Macaca fascicularis: one gene and its partner. The protein of the gene in region 2 purifies or fractionates together with the protein of the main gene of each other region. This does not show direct contact. Links are inferred from orthologs where the notes say so. Each region holds a gene or a part of one and is shown on either strand. Other genes may lie near its edges.

The links. Proteins that work in one complex are often made in the same cells at the same time.
Region 1: the proteins of VAMP8 (region 2) and STX4 purify together in Homo sapiens (affinity purification with western blotting; 3 studies listed by BioGRID and IntAct, with this or other methods). This does not show direct contact. The link is inferred for Macaca fascicularis from reciprocal best matches to the Homo sapiens genes VAMP8 and STX4.

What each region holds. Positions count from the first base shown.
Region 1 is NC_088394.1:29,213,140-29,220,193, forward strand, and holds the start of STX4 (syntaxin-4), read left to right. Parts: upstream 1-2,455; 5' UTR 2,456-2,713; coding exon 2,714-2,743; intron 2,744-2,920; coding exon 2,921-3,022; intron 3,023-3,111; coding exon of another isoform or gene 3,112-3,133; coding exon 3,134-3,233; intron 3,234-3,369; coding exon 3,370-3,444; intron 3,445-3,881; coding exon 3,882-3,952; intron 3,953-6,807; coding exon 6,808-6,916; intron 6,917-6,995; coding exon 6,996-7,054. UniProt on the Homo sapiens protein: Plasma membrane t-SNARE that mediates docking of transport vesicles. Necessary for the translocation of SLC2A4 from intracellular vesicles to the plasma membrane.
Region 2 is NC_088387.1:36,006,961-36,014,180, reverse strand, and holds VAMP8 (vesicle-associated membrane protein 8), read left to right. Parts: upstream 1-2,410; 5' UTR 2,411-2,506; coding exon 2,507-2,509; intron 2,510-3,870; coding exon 3,871-4,029; intron 4,030-6,753; coding exon 6,754-6,894; 3' UTR 6,895-7,209; downstream 7,210-7,220. UniProt on the Homo sapiens protein: SNAREs, soluble N-ethylmaleimide-sensitive factor-attachment protein receptors, are essential proteins for fusion of cellular membranes.

The DNA of each region.
Region 1 (7,054 bases), on a different chromosome or scaffold from region 2:
AAAAAAAAAAGAAAAAAGAAAAAAGAAAAAAAGCCCAGAGGGGAGGCTCGACAGTTTTCCAGCCCCTTCCACATCCTTCTTAACCTCACTAGATACTGTCCAAGTCCTACCTTAGGCAAGGCAGAAATTATAGGACCAAGCCGTCAAATGGGGAAATTGAGTCCCAGAGAGGAGTAATGCATTATTTAAGATCCCATGCAGGACTATGAGTCAGGGGTCCAAGAGCCCTTCCACCATGTGCCACTCAGAGACACAGAGTAGGAGGGGGAAGGGGGTCGGGTGGTAGGGGACAAAAGATGCGGGAGGCAAGCAGCAGTGACTGAAGAGGCAGAGGCTGCCATGGAAGACCCGGGAGCAGGGAATCTTTCCTCACCGTCTCCAGGGGAGGCTTCCTGAAAAACCCTGCATTCCCTCTGTGGGTTGATCAGGGAACCACTCTCCTACTAGCTGGGTTTTGTGTTTTGTTTTGTTTTGTTTTTTTGAGATGGAGTCTTACTCTGTCGCCTAGGCTGGAGTGCAATGGCGTGATCTCAGCTCACTGCAACCTCCGCCTCCCGGGTTCAAGCAATCCTCCTGTCTGAGCCTCCCAAGTAGCTGAGATTACAGGCACCTGCCATCATGCCTGGCTAATTTTTGTATGTTTGTAGAGATGGGGTTTCGCCATGTTGGCCAGGCTGGTCTCCAACTCCTGGCCTCAGGTGATCTGCCTGCCTCTGCCTCCCAAAGTGCTGGGACTGCAGGCATAGGCCACCGCACCCTGCTAGAGCTGGGTTTTAACAGGAAGAGAAGAGCCAAAAATCCTCACATAGAATCAGACAGCACTTGACAGTTTCCAACCTCATCATCACTGAAGTTTAGAGCAGCCCATACCCATAAAGATGATCTCCCCATCCCCCCAAGTTACCCACTGTGCAGAGGGAGATCGACACTTAAGAGACAGGAAGCAACTTCCAGAAGTCCATAGCAACCCAGTCCCAGGAATCTAGGTTTCCTGACCAGGGCATAGCAGAAAGGGTCCATTCCTTTCCTTGCTTGTACCTTCACAGAAGCTTCCTGGACAGAGCCCTGGGGTCCAGGAGACCCGTTATTCATTCCCAGCTATGCTGAGACTTACTAAATGACCTTGGGGACTCCTTCTAGAGAATTTAAGTTCCACGAGTGCAGGAATTTTTATCTATTAGTCCTTGATGTATCTCCAGCCCTAGAACAGTGTTTGGCCCATAGTATGTGCCCAAAAATATCCATTAAATGAATGTTCTGTGCATGGTGGTGCATGCCTGTAATCCCAGCAGTTTGGGAGGCTGAGGCAGGAGGATTGCTTGAGCCCAGGAGTTAGAGACCAGCTTGGACAACATAGTGAGACCCCATCTTGTAAAAATTTTTAAAAATAAAAAATGAGTGAATATCTCGATAGCCAGGATTAGAGAAGTGTCACAGTCAGAAAGACTGAAGCCTAAAGAAGGCCAAGGAACCAGGGTCTTCATCCTCAGATACATGAAAGGCTAAGATTCTGTCCACAAGTATTTATAGAGGGCCCGTAATGTGCTTGGTACTGAGCTAGGAACTCCCCAGATTCAGTTAAGAACAAAGTCATTACCTGCCTCAGATGCAAGGCAGGGTCTGGGGGGTGTGAGTGGCAGGGAAGGCAGCGTGCAGAGACACTTTTCTTAGCCTGAGCTGCCCTGACATGGTCTGACAGCCCACAAGGTGGTGAGTGCAGCCGGGCTGTAGTGTTCAAGGAGGGCGCCGGCTGGCTGCCCACCTGTCAGAGGCTGCGCCAGGAGGATGCGGAAGAAGAGGTTTCTGCCTTGGCTGAGGTCACTTTCCACCCCTAGATTCCCTGCCCACACAACCCTGCAATTTTCTGACGCTGACGACTCGGATCCTATTATTTCCCGATTTTCAAGGTCCCATGATGCTGACAGCCCCAAATGCTAAGTCGTCAGTCCGCCCACGCCCCTGGACCCGAAAGCAATAAAGGCGAAGTCAGCAAGGGTCCTACCACCCACTGCCTCGAAAGGCCTCTGGGAGTGGTGGGCGCGCCCCTCCCCACCTCGCGGGGGCCGTGTGGGCGTCGTTCGGTGGTCGGAGTGCCGGGGACGTCGTGATGAAAACAGCGTCCCAGAGACGGCGCTGACCGAGCCGGGACACGTGACAGTCACAGCGTCACATTCTGCGGTCCACGAGTTTGGGACCGGGTTGCTCACGTGACGCGGTGGGGGCACCATGGGGTGATATGAGATGCGGGTGCCTCAGATTACGTACAAATGACGTATTCCTACCCCTTTTGGCAACCAGATTTCCGTTGGAAGATGCAACGGTTCCGGTGACGGTAGCCAGTTCTCGCGTCCACGCAGCTCCGCTTCCGCTCGGGGCGCAATAACTTCCGACTCCACCTTCCGCGCCTCGGGCGAGGAAGAGACGCGACCATATGCGCATGCCCCGAATTTATCACGGAGGGGCGGGGCTGAGGCTGCGGGAGCTGGAGGGGGGAAGAAAAGGGAATTCCAACCTGTGGAACCTTGGGGGGTCCCCGGGGTCGGCGCCTTCCCATTGACTGTGGGCGGTGCAAGGGACGGAGGCTCTGGTGGCTCGTGGGGGTGTTGGGGTCCACAGGGGGAGGGAGGGGAGTGTCAGAGTGTGAGTGGGGTACGGGTATTCCAAGTTTGCCGGCCTCCCGGTCTGACGCCGGGGAGGGAGAGCTCAGGCCGCCATGCGGGACAGGACCCACGAGCTGAGGCAGGTGAGACGCCAGGGCAGCGGGGATGGGGGCGCGCGGACGAACTGGAACGCAGGACTCCTGGTCTTCGGGGTAGGGAGGGGTGGCTGATGGCCAGGAAGGAAAGTCCCGGAAGCCTGTGGGTCCTGCGGGGTGACAGCCGCAGCGAAACAGTGGTGCCAATGACTCCGGGCCTGGCAGGGGGATGACAGCTCGGACGAAGAGGACAAGGAGCGAGTCGCGCTGGTGGTGCACCCGGGCACGGCACGGCTGGGGAGCCCGGACGAGGAGTTCTTCCAGAAGGTAAGGGGATGGAGTCTTGGCCTGGATTCGCGAGGGGGTAGGAGGACCCGAGGAGCAGCGTGGTCTGGAGTACCCCATATCTCTTTCAGCCCTCTCGGTCACCCTCCCCAGGTCCGGACAATTCGGCAGACTATTGTCAAGCTGGGGAATAAAGTCCAGGAGTTGGAGAAACAGCAGGTCACCATCCTGGCCACGCCCCTTCCTGAGGAGAGTGAGTGAAACCCCGGCTGCATAGCGCATGCTCCGCCCCAGGGATTGTGGGGGTTGTAGTTCCACGCAGGTGGTGGCCAGGGTGGTTTGTTGAGGTGGGGGCTGCTGTTTGGGAGTCGTGGCCTTCTCTTATTCAGGCATGAAGCAGGAGCTGCAGAACCTGCGCGACGAGATCAAACAGCTGGGGAGGGAGATCCGCCTGCAGCTGAAGGGTGAGCTACTGGGACCTCAGGCAGATCCTTCCCTCTGATCCTGCCCTGTTGTTGGTATATCTGGGGAGTGTGTGGCCCAGAGAAGCCAGTGATATATCCAGGTCACACAGCAGGCCTGGTTCTAGCATCTCTGTCTTCTGGCCTCCAGGCCATTGTACTCTCCACAGCACAAGGCAGTCTCTCAGGTTCTTTTATTTACAATGAAACCATTTACTTACACAGTTATCACTGCCCACTGGGGCATTCTTTGGGCAGGGAGATGGGGTTTTGTTAGGTGGCCTCTGCATTCGTACGGGAACTCAAGTGATGTAATGCAAAGAAAAATAAACTTACTTTCTCCTCTTGGAGGCTCAGCCTTAGTCATTTTATGATAAATTATATTTCCCTAAAAATCCTATGGAGACAAGTACCCCCAATACCCCTGTGTCTTCCCACAGCCATAGAGCCCCAGAAGGAGGAAGCTGATGAGAACTATAACTCCATCAACACAAGAATGAGAAAAACCCAGGTGGGTTTTTTTTCTCAGAAATGACATTTCAGCAAATGTTTCATGAAGTAGTAGATGACAGATGTATGAAGGAAGGGCCTGTAGAGGTCATGGAGTCCAATTGGATGATTTTTCCAAGTGGGGAACCTGAGCTCAGAGAGAGAAAGAACTTGCTCAAGGTCAGGAAACCAGGTCTCCTGATGCTCAGTCCGGTTATAACACCCTGCTTTATTTTCTTCCATTCAATAAGAAGTTACTTATTGACCCCAGACAAGACCTAGGCTTGACTGTGGGACACGTTTTCTTTTCTTTTTGCCTCAGCCTCCTGAATAGCTGGGATTACAGGCGGACACCACCATGCCGAGTTAATTTTTGTATTTTTAGTAGAGACGGGGTTTCCCCATGTTGGCCAGGCTGGTCTCGAACTCCTGACCTCAGGTGACCCTCCTGCCTTGGCCTCCCAAAGTGCTGGAATTACAGGCGTGAGCCACTGCGCCCAGCTGGGACACGTGTTTTCTAGGAGTCAACATGAGGAGTTAGGGTTCAATAGGGGATAAAGACATTACTCACGTGGGATCTGGTGGCTAATGGCGCTGCCCAGGGAAGGAGAGTGAGAAGTCACAAATTGACTGGCAGGTTTGCTATCTGTGTGACAGGGACATCCTTAGTCCCACAGGTGGAATTCAAGAAGTCAGGAAGTGGAACTTCCCTGGGGCGACACTGAAGAGGAACTCCCCTGGTGTAATATCTTTTTTTAAAAAATTATTATTATTTTTTTGAGATGGAGTCTCTCTCTGTCGCCCAGGCTGGAGTACAGTGGCACAGTCTTGGCTGACTGCAACCTCCACCTCCTTCAAGCGATAATCCTCCCTCAGCCTCACAAGTAGCTGGGATTACAGGCGTACACCACCACACCTGGCTAGTTTTTTATATTTTTGGTAGAAATGAGGTTTCACCATGTTGGCCAGGCTGGTCTTGAACTCCTGACCTCAAGTCCTCAAGTGATCCACCTGCTTTGGCCTCCCAAAGTGCTATGATTACAGGCATGAGCCACCGTGCACGGCCCCTGGGGTGATATCTTAGTAAGGAGATTTGCAGTGATCTGACTGGCCCTCTTTGTGTCCCCAGTGAGGAGGATACCAAGAGGTCAGGGTTGGAGTAGTTGAGCCCAGGGCTCAGCAAGGACCCCAGATTGAAGATGAAACAGCTTGGGCATCTTGGAAGGGTGCAGCTGGAACCAGGAGAGCAGATGTATCTCTGGAAAAGGAACTCCAAGGAATGAGCATATTTAAGGTCTCAGGAGAAGGGGCAAGGCAGAGCAGATGCCCCAGAGCCAGTGTTTCTGGGGAAGCCTGTGGTGGTGATTGGCATGAGTGGTCGAGGGCCCATGTGGGCCTGTTGCACCTGTTTCGCCCAGGCAGCATGTTCATCTCTAGGCATAGGAACTGTGGTGTAGGCAGCAAGGTTGGCATTCAGCAAGCATTCAGCAGTTACATATTGGGTGCCTACTGTGTGCCAGACCTTTTTGGAACTGTTTAGGGTACAGCAGTGAATCAATGATCCCTATCCTCATGGAACTTCCCTTCTGGTGTAGACAATCACCGTAATAAATAAGTGAATTATTTAGAACATAATAAGCATTAAGGAAAAAAGAGCAGGGGAAGAGGGACTGAGCATGCTGGAGGAGGGTAGCGTTGCAGTTGAAAGCAAGTGGAGGAAGCTTCATTCAGAAGGTGACATCTGAACAAAAGACTTAAAGGTGTTTGCGGGGAATGGGCATTCTAGGTAGAATGAGAAGTGAATGCAAAGGTTTAAGCTGAGAGTGTGCTTTGTCTAGGGAGGGCTGTAAGGAGACCAATGTGGATGGGCAGAGGGAGGGAACAGTAAGAGGAAGCAAGATCAGAGAGGGCTGGCCGTGCACCTTGGCTCACACCTGTGATCCCAGCACTTTGGAGGCTGAGGTGGGAGGATTGGTTGAGCCCAGGCGTTTGAGACCAGCCTGGGCAACATTGCGAGACCCCATCTCTCTCTGTTTTTTTTTTTGAGACAAGGTCTCACTCTGTCACCCAGGCTGGAGTGCAGTGGTGCCATCTCTGCTCACTGCAGCCTCCGCCTCCTGAGTTCAAGCCATTCTCCTGCTTCAGCCTCCCAAGTAGCTGGGACTACAGGCACCCACCACTGCACCCAGTTAATTTTTGTATTTTTAGTAGAGATGGGGTTTCACCATGTTGGCCAGGCTGGTCTTGAACTCCGACCTCAGGTGATCTGCCTACCTCAGCCTCCCAAAGTGCTGAGATTACAAGCATGAGCCACCGTGCGGGTCAACCCTGTCTCTATTAAAAATAAAAATAGGCCAGGTGCAGTGGCTCACACTTGTAATCCCAGCACTTTGGGAGGCTGAGGTGGGTGGATCACCTGAGGTCAAGAGATTGAGACCATCCTGGCCAACATGGTGAAACCCCATCTCTACTAAAAATACAAAAATTAACCATGCATGGTGATGTTCATCTGTAGTCCCAGCTACTTGGGAGGCTGAGGCAAGAGAATCGCTTGAACCCAGGAGGCCAAGGTTGTGGTGAACCAAGATTGCGCCACTGCACTCCAGCCTGGGCAATAAGAACGAAACTCTGTCTCAAAAAATAAATAATAAATAAATAAAAATAAAAAAGATCATGGAGGGCCACATAGACTTGCTAAGGGCTTTGGCTTTTTGTCTAAGAGAAATGGGGGAGCCTGTCAAGGTCATCACAAAGTGGTTAAGGTGGCAGACCCCGCGTAAGAGCTCATGCTATTTGCTCACTTTACTATGGGATTGCCGAGGCCCAGACCGGGCAAGGATCCTCCCAGGGCACCCAGCCTATATTCTTCATCTTTAGCATGGGGTCCTGTCCCAGCAATTCGTGGAGCTCATCAACAAGTGCAATTCAATGCAGTCCGAATACCGGGAGAAGAACGTGGAGCGGATCCGGAGGCAGCTGAAGATCAGTGAGTTGTGTGTGCCCAGCCTGGCCTGCAGGGGCAGGTAATCCCAACCCAGCCCTGAGCCTGGCCTTTTCCTTCACAGCCAATGCTGGGATGGTGTCTGACGAGGAGCTGGAGCAGATGCTGGATAGTGGGCAGAGC
Region 2 (7,220 bases):
CAGGCGTGAGCCACTGCGTCCAGCAGTTTTATTTTTTTTATAGAGACAGGGTCTTGATATGTTGCCCGGGCTTATATATAATATTTGCTGAGCGTGGTGGTTTATGCCTATAATCCCAGCACTTTGGGAGGTTGAGGTGGGAGAATCGCTTGAGGTTTGGAGTTTGAGACCAGTTTGGGCAACACAACAAGACACTGTCTCCAAAAAAAAAAAAAAATTAGCTGGACATGGTAGCCCTTGCCTGTAGTCCCAGCTGACTGGGGAGGGTGAGGTGGGAAGATTGCTTGAGCCCACGAGTTCAAGACTGCAGTGAGCTTGAACACACTGTACTGCACTCTAACCTGGATGGCAGAGTGGGACCCTGCCTCTAAAAACAACAACAACAAAAAAGCTACAGGTGTCCAAAGTTTATTTAAAGCCTTTAAAAAGGTATTTGTGGCTGGGCGGGTGGCTCATGCCTGTAATCCCAGCACTTTGGGAGGCCGAGGCAGGTAGATCACCCGAGGTTAGGTGTTCGAGACCACCCTGGCTAACATGGTAAGACCCTGTCTCTACTAAAAATACAAAAAAAAATTAGCCATGCCTGGTGGCATGCACCTGTGGTCCCAGCTACTAGGGAGGCTGAAGCAGGAGAATCACTTGAACCTGGGAGGCAGAGGCTGCAGTGAGCTGAGATAGCGCCATTGCACTCCAGCCTGGGTGACAAGAGAGAAGCGTCTCAAAAAAAAAAAAAAAAAGTTTTGTGTCTGGATGTGGTGGCTCACACCTATGATCCCATCACTTTGGGAAGCCGAGGAGGGAGGATTACTTGAGAACAGGAGTTTGAGACCAGCCTGGGCAACATGGTAAGACCCCCATGTCTACGAAAAGTTTTAAAATAAATTAGCCAGACATGGTGGTTTGCACCTGTAGTTTCAGTTACTGGGGAGGCTGAGGCAGGATGATCGCTGTAGCCCCAGAGTTCAAGGCTGCAGTGTGCTACAATCATGCCACTGGACTCTAGCCTGGGTGACAGAAGGAGACCATCTCAAGAAAACAAAACAAAATAAACAAACAAAAAAAGTATTTGTTGGAAAAGTTGACATTTCCTCCTTGGAACTGATATCTTCTGGAATGGGTCAAGAATGTTCGTTCCCTTCTGAATGTCCCTGTTATTGTTCTTCTGTCTTGATAAACACTGTCAAGGAAGAACAGATTTTCTCCGGCCTGGAGCCAGGTTAGTGGAAAAGTCCTTTGCCTTGGGCCCCTGCTCTGGTACACCAGGGCAGTCTTCTGATCACTGATCACTGACTGGGATCAATTACCTCTCTGGTGGTCCCTGAAGGGAAATGCAGAATTGCTGAACTCTGGAAGGGAAGGAGGGGTTTGGTGAGCCATCATTACAGACACTGTGCTAGTGGCAGTGCACTGCACACGCTATCTTTTTTTTTTTTTTGAGACAGAGTCTTGCTCTTATTGCCCAGGCTGGAGTGCAATGGCATAGTCTTAGCTCACTGCAATCTCTGTCTCCCAGGTTCAAGCGATTCTCCCGCCTCAGCCTCCTGAGTAGCTGGGATTACAGGCACCTGCCACCATGCCTGGCTAATTATTTTGTATTTTTAGTAGAGACGGGGTTTTGCCATGTTGGCCAGGCTGGTCTCGAACTCCTGACCTCAAGTGATCTGCCTGCCTTGGCCTCCCAAAGTACTGGGATTACAGGCGTGAGCTACCATGCCCAGCCTCTTTTTGCTTCTTACCAGCACTGTCTGAGCTAAGCATCAGCACCTGCAAACTCCACAGAGGTGAAAAGGTTCACTCAGGGGCCTGTAACTAGTAACCCAGAGCTTTCTGAATCAGAGCCCAGGATCACAGTATTCCAGACTTCAGGGGTTTTAGTGCTTTCTGTCACTGAGGGACCTGAGAACAAGTGTTATCCAGCAAGAAATTTTCATAACTGCATTTTATTTCCCTGTGAGCCAGGCCTGGCATGGTTGATCTCTGTCTCTAGAAACTGGAGTCAGATATTCAAGACATTAAAAGGAGATGGCTGGTGGGGCGTCATGGCTCCTAGGACTTTGGGAGGTTGAGGTGGGAGGATTGTCTGAGCCCAGGAGTTTGAGACCAGCCTGGGCAACATGGTGAGACCTCATCTCTATTAAAAAAAAAAAAAAAAAGAAAGAGAGAGAGAGATGGCTGCCCTTTCTAGATCAGGAGGTCCAGCCTCAGGAAACCTTGGAGGGCTGCTTGATCTTTCTTTTCTAATTCCTGAAAAGTTAGAAGACCTTTAACATCTGAGAGCCCTATTACTCTAAGCTTAAGCTCTTGTTTGGGAAGCCACTGGGTGGACAGTGAAGAGTGCCCGCCTACCTGGGGAAACCTGAGTTAGGTGTGGCTGGAGCGACTCGAGATGCGAGGTGGGCGGGGGCAGGCTGAAAGCTGGAGCAAGCAGGAAGTGAGCTGACGGCCACCCTGGGAGGAAGCCGACTAGGCTAATTCACCTGCTGATCGGCCCGGGCTGCTCTGAGACATGGTGAGCGAACTGGAAACTAGGAAAGGGCTGATTTAAAGAGGAGCCAGAAGGGGCTCGGGACTGGGGGTTGGCTGTGGGGGGGGAGGAGAGTTGGCGGCAAAGTTAGAGGGCTGGGCCAGTGCTGCCTGTGGCCTCTCCTCTTTGACAACTTGGCTGCAAATAGCTCTGAACCGTCCTAGCAGGTGTTTCTATTCCTTCTTCCTCCCTCCCCTGACCTCTGTGCTGGTGGGGAGCTGGGCTTCCGTGCCAGTGCCAATGGGGGCTCCGAATTCCAGGCAAAGTGTTGTTGTGCCTTCCTCCTCCAGGGAGCCCGAGGCGGGTGTTGTGACACCACCAGGCAGTGCTTGGGCAGTTTCCAGTTCAGATTCCAGCCCAGCGGCAGGAGCTCTCCTCTCTGGCCTTTCACTTTATCCCTACACAGAAACACAAAGGATTTGTGTGTCCACTGAGTCCTTTGGGTGTCCTTTCTCCATTAACATGAAGAAGAGAACTAAGGGTTTATAAGATAACCAGAAGTTGGTTCTCTGTGATAAGCTAGTTCTGACCCATGCCACTGGCCTGTTTTTGGAGGTCAAGGAGGGAGGAGCTTAATAATGTTTTTCTCTCCTTGTTCAAAAACCTTGTCATGAAGTCTCTGAGATGAGACATCAGCCAGGGAGGACTAGTCCTCCATTTCCCCCAACACCCAGGCGGGTATTTTTATTTAATGTCTGCATAAGCAGGTGGTTGCTTGGTGCCTGTGCGTGGTGCCCAGTGGTAGGGAAAGCAGAAGTGTGTGGCTCAACGGCTGTGGGCGCCTTCTGGGGTACTTGGTTGCCTGTTGTTCTGGGTCACAGCAGCAATGGCATTGCGGCCAGGGCCATGCTCCAGCAGCTATTTAGAGGGGCAGATGGGTCAGGCTGGGTGAGGGTGTTTTGCTGGCCAGCACAGACACTTTCAATGAGGATCCCGAGAAATCAGGAAAGAGGGGTGGCTCCGGGAATTGTAAATAGTGGTGGGCTCTGCCCTGGAAAGGGAACATTGTGAGATGCCGGCTCTGCTGTATTCTATGGCCTTCTCTAGGGAGCAAGGAAGCAGTGGGGAGGGATTTAGTGATGCGCTGCTTTTCCTTGTCAGGGGTCCTAACAATCCTGAAAGAAGTTTGATCTAGTCTCTTTAGCATCACGTCTTACCTTCTGGGGCTTACAAATGCATTTATTTTTGATTACACAAGTAATACATGAAAACATTCTCTTTGTAAACATTTCAAGCATTTTACAAAAAGCTGAAGTCTGCCTGAGGCCTTACCCTCCCCAGGCCTCTGAGGCCAAGTCTCCAGTTCCCCCACCACTTGGTCTAATTAACCCCGTGTTGCTGTGCAGGAGGAAGCCAGTGAAGGTGGAGGAAATGATCGCGTGCGGAACCTGCAGAGTGAGGTGGAGGGAGTTAAGAATATTATGACCCAGAATGTGGAGCGGATCCTGGCCCGAGGGGAAAACTTGGAACATCTCCGCAACAAGACAGAGGATCTGGAAGCCACAGTGAGACAGGGAGCCCACTGGAGGCTGGAGGAAAAGAGGAAGGGAGGGAATTTCTTTTTGGTGGGGCAAAATGAACAGGAGGGTCAGAAGTGTAACATTTCTGTTGCCTTTCACCTGGTTTGGGAGCTGATGTGAGCTGAGTCTCCACTTCTGAATCTGCTCTGCTCCACAGATTGTTATGGATCCCAGGGAATGGATCCCATGACTGGGGCTTGAGGTGGCAGCTCACCCATAGAGGCATATTCTGAGACCGATAGCTCAGTCAGCCCATGCATTCTCAGGCTTCTCTCCCGGGAAACTTGTTTTCCCTTTGAAGCCTGCCCATGACAATCATTTGGATCTGACCTTCCCAGGGCAGAAGTATTGGCTTTGAGGAAACCCCCCCACCGTGGCCTCTAGCCTTCTCTAGGAGCTATTAGACAAGGGGTGGGAAATTGCTGGTATCTTGCTGAGTTGGCTTTAAAAAGAAGGAGGAAAGAGCAGAGAAATGCTTTGATCCCAGGGTCCCCTGCTAGATGAAGGCTAAAATAATATCTCCCACACATCTTGCTAGACCTCATTCTTCTCTCTCTCCAGCCAGGGGCTGCGGCCAGCTGTTTCAGGGAGGAAGTAACTCCAAAGTTGAGCAAAGTCTGGAGCCTCAGGTTTTGTGTCCAGCTGGGAAGCTGGCTCTGGCTTTCTTAGTCCTGTGTGAACTCTTGGCTCTTGGGTATTGCTCCCTTGTCTCCCTGGGGCTCATTGCCTGTTTCTGTAGCTTAATTGTAGCTTAATTTGGGGAGCACGGCCCCAGGATTTTTTTTTTTTTTTTTTTAATAGAGCCTCACTCTGTTGCCCAGGCTAGAGTGGTGCAATCTCGGCTCACTTCAACCTTCGCCTCCTGGGTTCAAATGATTCTCTTGCCTCAGCCTCCTGAGTAGCTGGGATTACAGTGTGCACCACCACACCTGGCTAATTTTTGTATTTTCAGTAGAGACGAAGTTTTGCCATGTTGGCTAGGCTGGTCTCGAACTCCTGACCTCAGGTGATCCACCCACCTTGGCCTCTCAAAGTGCTGGGATTACAGACTTGAGTCACCATGCCTGGACAAGCACTAGGAAATTTAGTGTCTATAACTCGAATTGCTGGGCATGGGGAAGAGTGCATGGAGGAGGAGGAGTTCCCTTACTTCCAACCCTCTGTACTGTCCTGGTCCCTCCTCCAGCCTCAGCAGTCCCGATGGGGCAAGGAGTCCTGTAGCTGGGAGATGTGCCCTCCTGGAGCCTGCATCCCTCAGTCCCAGGATCTGCCCTCCCAAGGGCAGATTGGGAGGGCAGATTGTGCTGCCAGTGTTGTACCCTTGGGTGTAAGCAGGTGTCAAGGACCCCTCAGTGTGCATGACAGTGCAGGGGTAAGAAGAGAAAGGGGACCCCTAGTCATATCTAGGTGGAGACCTCCTAGGATCCTGAGAATTCTAAATTTCAACCTGGCCTTTCAGATTTTTAGGAAGGTACATTTGTCAAGGTAGGCAAGATAGAGCAATTTTTTTTTTTTTTGAGATGGAGTCTTGCTCTGTTGCCCAGGCTGGAGTGCATTGGTGTGATCTTGGCTCACTGCAACCTCTGCCTCCCAGGTTCAAGTGATCCTCCTGCTTCAGCCTCCCAAGCGCCCACCACTATGCCTGGCTAATTTTTTTGTATTTTTAGTAGAGAGGGGGTTTCACAATGTTGGCCAGGCTGGTCATGAACTCCTGACCTCAGGAGATCCATCTGCCTCAGCCTCCCAAAGTGCTGGGATTATAGGTGTGAGCCACTGTGCCTGGCCAAAGCATATTTTATTTAGCAGTTTGCTACCTCAGCTTACAGTGTCACTATTAAGATGTATGGCTTGAGCTGGGCATGGTGGCATGTGCCTATAGTCCCAGCACTAGGGAGGCTGAAGTGGGAGGATTGCTTGAGCCCTGGAGATGGAGGCTACAGTAAGCCAAGATTGTGCCACTGCACTCCAGCCTGCACTGGGCGACAGAGCGAGACCCTGTCTCAAAAAACCAACAAACAAGGCCAGGCGCCGTGGCTCATGCCTGTAATCCCAGCACTTTGGGAGGCCAAAGCAGGTGGATCACCTGAGGTCAAGAGTTCAAGATCAGCCTGGCCAACATGGTGAAACCCCATCTCTACTAAAGATACAAAAATTAGCTGGACATGGTGGTGCACGCCTGTAATCCCAGCTACTCAGGAGGCTGAGGCAGGAGAATCGCTTGAACCCGGAAGGTGGAGGTTGCAGTGAACTGAGATTGCGCCACTGCATTCCAGCCTGGGCAGCAGAGTGAAACTCTGTCTCAAGAAAACAAACAAACAAACAAACAGATGTCTGGCTTGTAGGCCGGGCACAGTGGCTCACACCTGTAATCCCACCCCAGGAGGGCGGATTACTTGAGGTCAGGAGTTCAAGACCAGCCTGGCCAACATGTGAAATCTCATCTCTACTAAAAATACAAAAGTTAGCTGGGTGTGGTGGTGGGCACCTGTAATCCCAGCTAGTCAGGAGGCTGAGGCAGGAGAATCACTTGAACCCAGGAGGTGGAGGCTGCACTGAGCCAAGATCGAACCACTGCCTGGGCAACAGAGCAAGACTCCATCTCAAAAAAACAAAAACAAGAAAGTTTGGCCTGTGGGTTGTACTTGTACTTATACTCTTGTTCCAGTGGGAGGAGCCACTGGGTCACTCACTCTGCCTTTTCCTCAACAGTCTGAGCACTTCAAGACGACATCGCAGAAGGTGGCTCGGAAATTCTGGTGGAAGAATGTGAAGATGATTGTCCTTATCTGCGTGATTGTTTTTATCATCATTCTCTTCATTGTGCTCTTTGCCACTGGTGCCTTCTCTTAAGTAATAGGGAACCTCTCCCACCTGCCCTTCTCTTCAGGGACAACCCTCTGTAAATGGGTGCCAAGAGGGTCTCCTTTCCTGTCCTCCTCTACAGAGAATGCTGCTTGGTCCTCCTACCCCTCTTCCCGAGGCCCTCCTGCTGTGTTGTATGCCCCAGAGGGTAACTTGGTCCCCCAGAAGGAGAGAAAAAAGAGAGCTGGACTGCGGATGCATTTCATGGGTCCTTAGAGTGGGCTGGAGAGACCTAGAGGGCCCAGCATGTGGCTGGGAAACTGCTGGTGGCCAGTGGGCAATAAAGACCTTTCAGTATCCCTATATGTGTGAGT